Linked DNA regions of Sus scrofa. The protein of the gene in region 1 purifies or fractionates together with the protein of each later gene. This does not show direct contact. Links are inferred from orthologs where the notes say so. Each region holds a gene or a part of one and is shown in the gene's direction. Other genes may lie near its edges.

Evidence for each region. The genes of interacting proteins can lie anywhere in the genome.
Region 2: the proteins of CHTOP (region 1) and ERH purify together in Homo sapiens (affinity purification with mass spectrometry; 3 studies listed by BioGRID and IntAct, with this or other methods). This does not show direct contact. The link is inferred for Sus scrofa from reciprocal best matches to the Homo sapiens genes CHTOP and ERH.
Region 3: the proteins of CHTOP (region 1) and PRMT1 purify together in Homo sapiens (affinity purification with western blotting; 7 studies listed by BioGRID and IntAct, with this or other methods). This does not show direct contact. The link is inferred for Sus scrofa from reciprocal best matches to the Homo sapiens genes CHTOP and PRMT1.

The regions. Positions count from the first base shown.
Region 1 is NC_010446.5:96,002,675-96,006,976, reverse strand, and holds the start of CHTOP (chromatin target of PRMT1 protein), read left to right. Parts: upstream 1-1,362; 5' UTR 1,363-1,672; intron 1,673-2,841; 5' UTR 2,842-2,858; coding exon 2,859-2,923; intron 2,924-4,239; coding exon 4,240-4,302. UniProt on the Homo sapiens protein: Plays an important role in the ligand-dependent activation of estrogen receptor target genes. May play a role in the silencing of fetal globin genes.
Region 2 is NC_010449.5:93,070,788-93,074,033, reverse strand, and holds part of ERH (enhancer of rudimentary homolog), read left to right. Parts: intron 1-374; coding exon 375-495; intron 496-3,246. UniProt on the Homo sapiens protein: May have a role in the cell cycle.
Region 3 is NC_010448.4:54,721,817-54,725,464, forward strand, and holds part of PRMT1 (protein arginine N-methyltransferase 1), read left to right. Parts: coding exon 1-51; intron 52-1,077; coding exon 1,078-1,233; intron 1,234-1,366; coding exon 1,367-1,430; intron 1,431-3,648. UniProt on the Homo sapiens protein: Arginine methyltransferase that methylates (mono and asymmetric dimethylation) the guanidino nitrogens of arginyl residues present in proteins such as ESR1, histone H2, H3 and H4, FMR1, ILF3, HNRNPA1, HNRNPD, NFATC2IP, SUPT5H, TAF15, EWS, HABP4, SERBP1, RBM15, FOXO1, CHTOP, MAP3K5/ASK1, MICU1 and NPRL2.

The DNA.
Region 1 (4,302 bases):
AAGGCTGTTCACTCCCAAATTGCTTTATTTGGGGAGGGATCTTATTTTGGAGAAAGATCAAGGAACCATTACATCTTCCTACTTAAGGAATGCTCAAGGCCCAGAAAGGTAGAGGCTCAAGGTTCCAGCTGGAAGTGGCAGAGACATCAGCTTTTCAGCTTTGAAGCCAGAAAAATTGCCCTTCAACTTTCGAAGAATATGTGCTGAAGACCTACCCCGTGCTAGACATTGTGTGGAAACTGGGAATACAGCAGTGAGCAAAACAAACACAACCCTCACTGTCACATAGGTGAAGTCCAGTAAAGGGTGCCAAACCATTAAACATACACGTATAAATGCTAGGAAGGAAAATGAAAGGATCTCATGCGCCTTTAAGAGAGTGGAGGTGGAACTGAGGACATGTTCATTCACTCATTCTTCCAACATCTGAGCCTTTTTTTTTTTTTGGTCTTTTTTTGCTATTTCTTGGGCCGCTCCCACGGCATATGGAGGTTCCCAGGCTAGGGGTTGAATCAGAGGTGCAGCCACCTGGCCTACGCCAGAGCCACAGCAACGCTGGATCCGAGCCGCGTCTGCAACCTACACCACAGCTCACAGCAATGCCGGATCGTTAACCCACTGAGCAAGGCTAGGGATCGAACCCGCAACCTCATGGTTCCTAGTTGGGTTCCTTAACCACTGCGCCACGACGGGAACTCCCATCTGAGCCTTTTATTGTGTGCCCAGGTATAAGGAAAATGCCATATAGGTCTGCATCAAAATCCACATGGAAGCTAGATGGAGGGAGAAGACATTGGAATAGGTTGCGGGGACGCAAAGCTTCCCCCAAATAAGAATTTAACAATCTTCAGGCCAAATTGGGAAGGGAAGTGAAGAGAAAAATATGGACGGGCAGTGGTGCGTGGTGCAGGATCCAGTGAGGTGTGCTCCCTGCACTGGTCCCCAGGTGCGTTTATGGCAACCCACAACTCTAAAAGGGGCGTATGCTGAGGGGGGAGCCAGCGCAAATTACACCGGCCCGGTGGCTCTCGGAAGAAAGACCGAGTCATGTCGCGTAAAGAATTTTAGTCGGTCTGCCTTAGCTTTAGGGGTGGAGGGACCCGCAATGAAATACGAACTTCTTTTCTTAAGAGGACCAAATCCGCCTTGAACGTCCCAAATCACCAACTTGCAGCCGCCTTAAAACCCAAGAGAGAATATATTGGCCACGCCCCTTCCCGGGTGGGGCTCGGAGTGTAATACAGCCTAAAGCCCCGCCTTTTCCCTGGAGCTCCGCCTCATCCCCCGCGCAGGCGTAACACAAATTTTCCCGCCTCCTGCGCTGTGCGCAGACCTGACGTCTGACGTAATGGCGTCGACGCCATTTTAGCCGGTCCCATTCCGCACTGGGCGTGGCGGCCATTTTGTTTTGGAGAGCGAGCGGGAGTTGGCGGCAGCGGCTGTGGTGAAAGGCAGGAAAGGGCACGCCGGGCGAGCAGGCGAACCGGCCGACCGGACAGCCACCCAGCATCAACGAACTAACCTAGCATTCTACCGTTTAACACATACAACCAACCGCCCACCAAGTTAATCCGAGCCCCTCCACCGTCAACTCAGGTTCGGCCGGCCCCCGGCCAGCCTGTCGCAGCCGTGGTGGCAACCCCGGGAGGAGCACTGGCGTCCGTTTCCTTCGGTACGTTTCTGTGGTGAGAAGGAGGGCAAAAGTCTTGGGGAGCGCCCGGGCCCGGCGGTCGTGGAGTGGGAGCTGGTGGGATGTGGAAGCAGATTGGGTGTCGGGGAGTGGAGGCCCCGGGAGGGGGCGGAGCCCCTGAGAGGGAGGCGGGGGAGGCCCCGAGCTGGAAACTCGCTGCTGGAGGTTGGGATTTGGTAGGAATAGAAAGGAACATTGCTGGGCGGGTTGAGCAACGTTGGCGGTCCCGGACGGGGCTTTGAGATGGGAGTTCAGAGGAGGACTACACGGCTTTAGGGAACGTCAGAATGCACTGGCAGCTGTAGAGTTAAATTTTGTGGCGTGCTCTCTGGGATCGAACTCCCAGGTGAACGCCCATTTAGGAAACCTTTCCTACTCCATCCCTCCCCCACGTCCCCAGTCCCTTGCTAAGGTTCCTGCAAGACTTTGGAGTTGAAAGCCAATTTGTAAACTGGTAAACCTGTATCATCTCTCTAGAGCAGTGGTTCTGAATTTTGGCTGCACATGAGAAGCAGCAAGTTAGACACCACCCCCCCTCCCCGCACCACCTTCTAATTGCTGATCCCCAGACCTCACCAGCAGAGATTGTGCTTTAAATGGTTTGGGCCGAAGCTTCTGTATTTTGTGTCTGTCTTTGTTGTTGTTTTGTCTTTTTAGGGCCGCATATATAGAAGTTCCAAGGCTAGAGGTCGAATTGGAGCTGTAGCTGCCGGCCTAGACCACAACCCACAGCAACGCTAGATCCTTAACCCACTGTGCGAGGCTAGGGGTCCAACCCACATCCTCAAGGATGCTAGTTGGGTTTGTGACCGCGGAGCCATGAAGGGAACTCCTGTTGTTGTTTTTTAAAGCTCCTTGCAGCCAAGGTAGAGAAGGACCGCTCTAGATGAAAAGCCAAACACTTTCTTTGGCTAGGTCTAGGTCTGCCATTTTTGGAGGCTTGGGCAGGTATTTTCTGTCATGTGGCCTTGAAGTTTATTAATTCCAGATAACTTAGCTTCTAAATGTAAGCACCTGAAATGAGTTTTGGTGTGATCTTCAGTAGTCATTGAGACAGGCCTATTCATTCATTTTTGGTTTGGGCCTTTGGCCCTGTTGAAATGAGGTAGTCATCATTCTGATTTGCTCACTTTGCCCATTGTCTTTTGTAGATTCTCGGGATTTGAAGATGGCTGCACAGTCAGCACCGAAAGTTGTGCTAAAAAGCACCACCAAGATGTCTCTAAATGAGCGGTGAGGCAGCCAACAGCAACTTCAGCTCGTTCATAAGAAAACATTACTTAAGTTGGCCCTGGGTCCAATGCACAAAAACCAGTTTTAAGCTAAATACCAACAGAAGGCTACAGACCTCTGTTCTTAGTAGCATCTTATGTGGTACACAAAACAAATTGGGCGGTTGTTTCAAAACCACTTATCAGTAGATTTTTATGTTAAGCTGTCTGAAATATTTCTCTGGTGGGATGTATTTTAAAAGACTCCTCACACCCTCCATTTTCTTCACATTTTTTTTACATTGATACAGGGGTGGTGCAGCTTGGTAGCATGGAACCCCGGCTGCAGTAGGCTTGCTGCCCAGTCCAAGGCCAGCAGTGTTGTGTCTGGCCTGTAAGAGGCAGGTAGCAAGCTATGAATATGTCCAAAGGCCCTTGAATGTCATTCTTGGACCTTGTAAGAGGCACTTGCTTTGCTCCATTTCACTTTCTTTCCATTCTGCTTTTAGTTTGTTTTTGTTTTGGATTCTTTTGCGCTTAAGTGTTCTTCTCTTTCATTCCGTTAAATTCGACAGGAATAATAGAAGAGTGTCTTCACAAGAGCCTCAATGATTGAACTAATCTTAACTTTTCAGAAGTAATCAACTTGGAGTCAGAAAAAGTAATCATTTGAAACTAAGAAAAGTTAAGGTATTTAAAGGCACTTTCTGTCTCTGAGGGCCTTGTTCCTTGAGTGCCTTTGACAAATGATTTTATTAAGTTGCTGTTAAACATAAGATTTACTTGTGTTTGTCTGCCTTTTCTGAAGCATATGTGCTTCTTAGGGCACGTGGTACACTAATTCTTCATATTCACATGTTACTGCGTGAACCACTTATGAAAAAAATGTGATATACTCCTGTAATTTATGTGGATGTATCATTTCCATAGGCTTTGAAGGTGCTCTAGTCCGTCCTTATATACGCCCTTAAAATGCACCCTCAGGTCCCAAAGGATTTGGCTTGCTTTGTCTGTCTTTGAAACTACATCTTCTGTCTCTTGTCATCATATCTGCTTATTGCGTGTTTTTCATGCTTTCTATCTCTAAAAGCCGTTACCTGAGCCCTTGTTATCACTTTTGATTGAATGTGCTACACTTAGCTGCATTTCTGAGTTTCTGATTCTTGCAAGTTTGTGGAAGCGGAGGAGTCTTTAACCCACATCAGCCTTGATCTAAGTGTACCGCTTTACTTAAAGTTCGTGGGATCTGGAGCTCCTGGTCTAGCAAGCCATGAAAATGCCAGTAAATGTTTTGTAATAAAGCTTTTATTTAAACATCCATTTTGTTCGACCTTGAAGCTTTACTAATATGCTGAAGAACAAACAACCGATGCCAGTGAATATTCGGGCTTCGATGCAGCA
Region 2 (3,246 bases), on another chromosome or scaffold:
CCAAGCTGCGTCTGTCACTTACACCTCAGCTCATGGCAATGCTGGCCTTAACCCAGTGAATAAAGCCAGCCATTGAACCCACATCTTCATGGATACCAGTCAGGTTCATTACCACTGAGCCACAACAGGAACTCCACATTGTGTCAAAATTTGAAAGTAGAATGGGAAAGTATTCATTTGTCATCCATTATTCTCAAGTGTGGTGTTATTTAAAAATTTGCTAGTGGCAACAACTACAACACAAGTGGTCAACTTAACTGTTGTTTTCCCAGCCCAAGTTTATAAGAGGAAATACTATATAACCATATAACACCACTCATATCTAAAGTTCATATAATTATAAGGTCTTGATTTTTTTTTCCCTTCTCTCTTAGGTGTTTGTAAAATGTATGAAGAACATCTGAAGAGAATGAATCCCAACAGCCCCTCTATCACATATGATATCAGTCAGTTGTTTGATTTTATCGATGATCTGGCAGACCTCAGCTGCCTTGTGTAAGTATTAGCCACTCTACCTCTTAAATTGTATTTTTCTATTATTTGTTCGTCTGTTTGAGGTGACTTATGATATTGGGAGCTCACTGTGCCTGACACCGATCTTTGCATTTTGCCTAGAAGATAGTAATTAATATTTCTTATACATGTGGCTCATAAATTAAGTTGGCAACATAGAGCTGGACGCTAAAATCTTAAGAACTTTACTAATTGAAACAGTATGAATCAACTTTGCACTGAGAACTTGGTTCCTTAAACTGAATAATCCTTTTCTTAGTTTTTTTTCCATTATTGTCTTTATCCTAAAGCAGTTTGCTTTGGATTAAAACTAATATTCTTTTTTGTTGTTGTTGTCTTTTATCTTCTTAGGGCTACACCCGCAGCATGTGGAAGTTCCCAGGCTAGGGGATCTAATAGGAGCTGTTGCTGCCAGCCTATGCCACAGCCACGCCAGATCTGTGCTGCTTATGTGACCTACACCACAGCGTGGCAATGCCTGATCCTTAACCCACTGAGCGAGGCCAGGGATCAAACCTGAAACCTCATGGTTCCTGGTTGGATTCGTTTCTGCTGCATCCCGGGAACTCTCAATATTATTCTGTTTTCATGACTTTTTTTTTTTTTTTCTTTTTTTTTGGGCCACACTCGTGGCATCTGGAAGTTCCCAGGTCAGGGATTGAATCTGAGCTACAGCTGCTACCTCCACTGCAGCTGCAGCAATGCTAGCTCCTTAACCCACTGCACCGCAGCAGGAACTCCTTCATCTTTGTGCTATTAAATGTAAACCAGAAACTACATCTAGCATGCTAAAGTGATTTCTCATATTTGCCTTATTAAAGCAATACAAAGACTAATTATGTGTTAATGTACAACTATATATATTATAATAATTATTTATTATAGATAATTCCAGCTACAGTAGTTCAGATAGTATAAAAGAGAAATGAATGGTAACCTATAGTTTTTAATTGTCTGGAAAACTGTAAACTAGCTATTTGTTTTTATCTCTAATGTGAACTTTGGCCTCTGAAAACTTTTAGAATCAAATACATGGTTTAGGACCATTTTGTCCGTATGACTTTGATATTTGAATCAAGAGAGGTAAGATTTCCAGAATTATTTCTGGCAAGGTCTCCTATTGCCATGACATTTCCTATGACAGCACATCCTGCTCCTCTCCTTAATTAAAGATTGTGCACCTGGCCTGTTACTCTTCAGACAAGGAATTGAGTTCGTTTTTGGTTTGCTAATTGTTGTGGACTCGTTGGTTTTATTAAGTTTAACTGGCAGTGACATAGGACAGTTTTTAATTATTTTTAAACCAATAGAGAATGGAATAAATAAAAGTGTACTTTGTTAAGCCCAGAACAAACTGACCATGCATTAATTATAAAATTCATACACGGAGGATTTGTGTGGTTTATTTATTATTTTTTTTTTAGGGCCACACTCGTGGCCTATGGAGGTTCCCAGGCTAGGGGTCGAATCTGAACTACAGCTGCTGGCCTACACCACAGCCACAGCAATGTAGGATCCGAGCCGAGTCTGCGACCTACACACAGCCTATGACAATGCCGGATCCTTAGCCCCCTGATTGAGGCCGGGCCAGGGCTTGAACCCACAACCTCATGGTTACCAGTCAGGGTCATTACCACTGAGCCACGACAGGGACTCCCATGGAGGGTTTGTATTTCATATATTTGAAGCCAGAGTATAAATTTCTTCACGTTTCTCTGATCTGTAAGGTTTTTGGTTTTTTTTGTTTTAATAAGTTTTTTTAAGAGTAAGATAACAGCTTTTTGAAGATGTGGGCTTCTCTCATTTGCTTAGAGAGAGAGGGACATTTGCATCCTTGGTTACTTTAATGAGGAGGACCTCCTTCCTAATAAGGAAGACCATTTGGTATCAGTTAAAAAAAAAAGACCCCGGCTAATTTCCCTGCTCAGATCCACAGCTTCCATTCTTATGTAAACCTGCATTCATTGGCCATACACTAGGCTAAAATATTTATGCCAGCAGTTAGGGATTTTATTCATGTGTTTAACATTTAATTGTCTCATTTTCAAGTAGCAGTTAACATAAAGAAGGCATTATTACTACTTTAAGTTGGAAAATAGCATGCAAGCTGATGGATTCCTTAATGTTCACAATCCAAAGTGATCTTGGTTTGTGAACATTTAGGTCTAAATAAGGCTGTTCCACCCAAACTGTAATTCTGAAACATTTTGTTCATTTTTATATTCTTTTTTTTTTTTTTTTTTTTTGTCTTTTTGCCATTTCTTGGGCCGCTCCTGCGGCCTATGGAGGTTCCCAGACTAGGGGTCTAATCGGAGCTGTAGCTGCCAGCCTACGCCAGAGCCACAGCAACATGGGATCTGAGCCGTGTCTACGACCTACACCACAACTCATGGCAACGCTGGATCCTTAACCCACTGAGTGAGGGCAGGGATCAAACCCGCAACCTCGTGGTTCCTAGTCGGATTCGTTAACCACTGCGCCACGACAGGAACTCCCATTTTTATATTCTTTTCCAGTGTTAAATATTGTAGTCTGTTCTGCCATACCTGAAAGTAGACTAGATTGGCACTTGTTTAACTAGGAAGATGAACCAAAGGATAGTCAAAATTGGTTTACTTTTTAGGAGTATTTCTCCTTGGGAGTTCCCGTTGTGGCTCAATAGGTTAAGAACTGACTAGTATCCATGAGAATGCCGTCCTAACCCCTGGCTTGAGCTGTGGGTTAAGGACCTGG
Region 3 (3,648 bases), on another chromosome or scaffold:
ACGTCCAAAGATTACTACTTTGATTCCTACGCTCACTTCGGCATCCACGAGGTGAGTCCAGACTGACTGACCGCTCCTAGGGCCCCTGAATCTTCACGGGGTTCGTGTTTGGTGGGGGGGGGGGGACTTAATTTCTAAGGCATGCGTGCTGCCGGGGAAGGGAGCGGGCAGTCCCTCCGCTGGCTACTCACACCCTGGGGGTCGACGCTCCCAGCTGTTGCCTTGGAGACTGAGGCGAGGCTGGCACTGCGCCAGCCGGGCCAGCTCAGGGGCGCGGGTGGGAGTGCGCATGTGCGCTGGGGACTTCAGCCCGAGGTCGGGGCCTGCTGGTCTCTGCCGCCCCCTAGTGGCCGGTGGTGGGACTGTCCGCCAGCTCCTCGGACTCAGAGTGCGGGCTGCCTCTAGACGTTTTTTTGCCTGCGGTGGAGGCTGAGGTCCCAGAAATCACCTAGGACCGGGATGTGTTTTTCTTTTCTTATTGTGATTAAAAAAAAGTGCATAACAGTTTGCCATTTTCACGTATACAGCTCAGTGGCATTAAGTTACTGAGGACTTTTTAAAGCCAAGGACAGCAGGGACTCAGGGCAGTGGTCCATCTGTAAAGATGGGAGTTCAGGAGTTCCCATCGTGGTGCAGTGGAAATGAATGTGACTAGTATACATGAGGATGCGGGTTCGATCCCTGGCCTCGATCATTGGGTCGGGAATCCGGCGTCGTTGTGAGCTGTGGTGTAGGTCGCAGACGCAGCTCCGATCCCCCGTGGCTGTGGCATAGATTGGCAGCTGTAGCACTCATTCGACCCCTAGCCTGGGAACCTCTGTGTGCCTCGGGTACGGCCCTAAAAAGCAAAAAAAAAAAAAAAAAAAGGTGGGAGTTCAGTCCATCCAGTCTGATTTTACAAATAGGGAGATGGAAGCACGTGGAAGGGAAGTGACTTGTTCAAGGGAGTCGAGGAAGCAAGTGCGAGAGCCAAGCTCCAGTGCTTCAAACGGTGCGCGTGTTGGAGGCCGGGGCACCCTGTTTTCCAGCTGGGGATGCAGGCTCCCTCAAGGTGTCTTTGTGCTCCCCCCTTCCCAGGAAATGCTGAAAGATGAGGTGCGCACCCTCACCTACCGAAACTCCATGTTTCACAACCGGCACCTTTTCAAGGACAAGGTGGTGCTGGACGTGGGCTCGGGCACAGGGATCCTCTGCATGTTCGCTGCCAAGGCCGGTGCCCGCAAGGTCATCGGGGTGAGTGTCCTGGGTGGCTGGGCGGGCCCAGGGACGCCAAGGGGACCTTGTGGAGCTCAGGGATTGGGAGGGGGTGGGGGCTGAGGGTGGCACTGGGGGGGTCTCTCACCCTCCCTTCTTCCTGGGCCCCCAGATCGAGTGTTCCAGTATCTCTGATTATGCGGTGAAGATCGTCAAAGCCAACAAGTTAGACCACGGTGAGCCCAGCAAGAGAACGGGCGTGGGGGGAGGGAGTGGACCATCCCCGCTTCCCTGGGGTCCTTGGCAAGGCGACAGGGGCCACTGAACTTGAATTCCTGCCTTCCTCCCCCATGGGCTCTGGGCCGCGGACAGCCCGAGAATTCTGCCTACTCAGAAATGAGCTGTCAAAGTCGCCAGCTTAGTGCCTCGATTTTTGGTGGTTTTTTTTTTTTTTTTTTTTTTAAAGGCAGAGCAAGAAGCAATCTTTAGGGAGTTACCTGGTGGTCCAGGGATTAGGATTTGGTGCTTTCACTGCCGTGGCCCAGGTTGGATCCCTGGTCTGGGAGCTGAGGTCCAACATCAAGTTGCTGCACGTTGCAGGCCAAAAAAATTTAGTAATAATTTCTTTTAAAAGAAAAACAGTCTGTAGTTTTTTCACTGAGTGGTAGAATTCCTTGGTTGACCCCTGAGGGCCCGGGGTGAGAAGCTTCCCGTCTGCCTCGCAGTTGTCCTTCTCGGGCTTCCGCCAACACGTCCTTCCAGAGCCGTCTGCCTCTATGAGCAGGTGGACTTGTGTTTCTACATTCACTGCATAATTTTTTATTTTTTATCAGGTGTGTATTTTTGACACAGATAAACTCAAGTTTTTTTGCCCTTTTTTTTTTTTATTTTATTTTTGCTGAAGTATAGTTGATTTACAGTGTCGTGTTAGTTTTAGGTAGACAGCGAAGTTGGATGTTTTTCTTTTGTCTTTTGTTGGCTGCCCCACACTAGATCCCTAACCCACTGTGCCCAGCGAGGATCGAACCTGTGTCCTGGTGCTCCAGACACCACTGATCCTGTTGCGCCACAGCAGGAACTCCAACAGCAAAAATAGATGTATACACCTTCGTCAGAGTTATTTTCCTTATAGGTTATTAGAAAACATGGAGTTTAGTTGCCTGTGCTGAGCAGTTGGTTGTCTTTTTTTTTTCTTTTTTTTTTTTTCCCCCTCTTTTTAGGGCCACACCCATGGTGTATGGAGGTTTCCAGGCTAGGGGTCCAGTCCGAGCTACAGCTGCCGGCCTACGCCACAGCCACAGCAATGCCAGATCCAAGCTGTGTCTGCAGCCTACATCACAGCTCACAGCTACGCTGGGTCCTTAACCCGCTGAGCAAGGCCAGGGATCGAACCTGCACTTCTGCAGGGACCAGAACCGCTACAGTCAGATCCTTAATCCACTGTGCCACAGGGGGAGCTCCCTACAGCAGCTTTCCTAACCAGATTCCTAGTGATGAGCATTTAAGCTGCTTCTGAGACTTTCATCCCTCCGCATGTACTGTCATTGCCATCTGATAGACGAACTGGTATAGCTGTGAGGTCACTTTTTGAGAGTAGGATTGCATGGGTCAAAAATGAGGAAGGAGGGATTCCCCTTGTAGCTCAGCGGGTTAAGAACCTGACATAGTGTCTGAGGATGCAGGTTCAATCCTTGTCCTTGCTTAACAGGTTAAGGATCTAGCTTTGCCAAAAGCTGCGGCATAGGTCACAGATGTGGCTCAGATCTGGTGTTGCTGTGGTCGTGGCCTTGGCTGGCAGCTGTAGCTCTAACTCAACCCCTAGCCTGGGAGCTTCCATATGCTGTAGGTGGGGTCATAAGAAGGAAAAAAAAAAATGAGGAAGGAGTTCCCTGGTGGCTCAGCAGGTTAAGGATCTGGCATTGCCACTGTAGTGGCTTGGGTCACTGCTATAGTGCAGGTTCAATCCCTGGCCCCATGGTATGGGTGTGGCCAGAAAGAGTAATGTGAAAAGGTTGGGAAGATGGTGGGTTTTCCAGACACGAAGTCTCTTGGCATTCTAGAAACTGAAGGGACTTTTTTTTTTTCCCAAGAGGCTGGTGTAAGAAAGCCTCAAGGACCCATCACATTAGTTTTAAATACCTCCATTTGAAGCAGGTTCCAACTTTGTAATAATACCTGCTGTTTGTACCTCTAAGGCCATTTGAAAACCATGACGTTGGAGTTCCCTGCTGGCACAGGGGGTTAAGGATCCAGGATTGGCAACTGCTGTGGCTCAGGTTTGATGCCTGGCCCGGGAACTTCCTCATACCTCTGGTGCAGCCAAATAAATAAATAAACAACATGACCAAACGATTATATACAGGCTGGATAAACAGCAAGGTCCTGCAGAGAGCCGTGTGTGATATCCTGTGAGAAACCATAAGGAGAGGGGACCTGGAAAAGAACAGGACTATG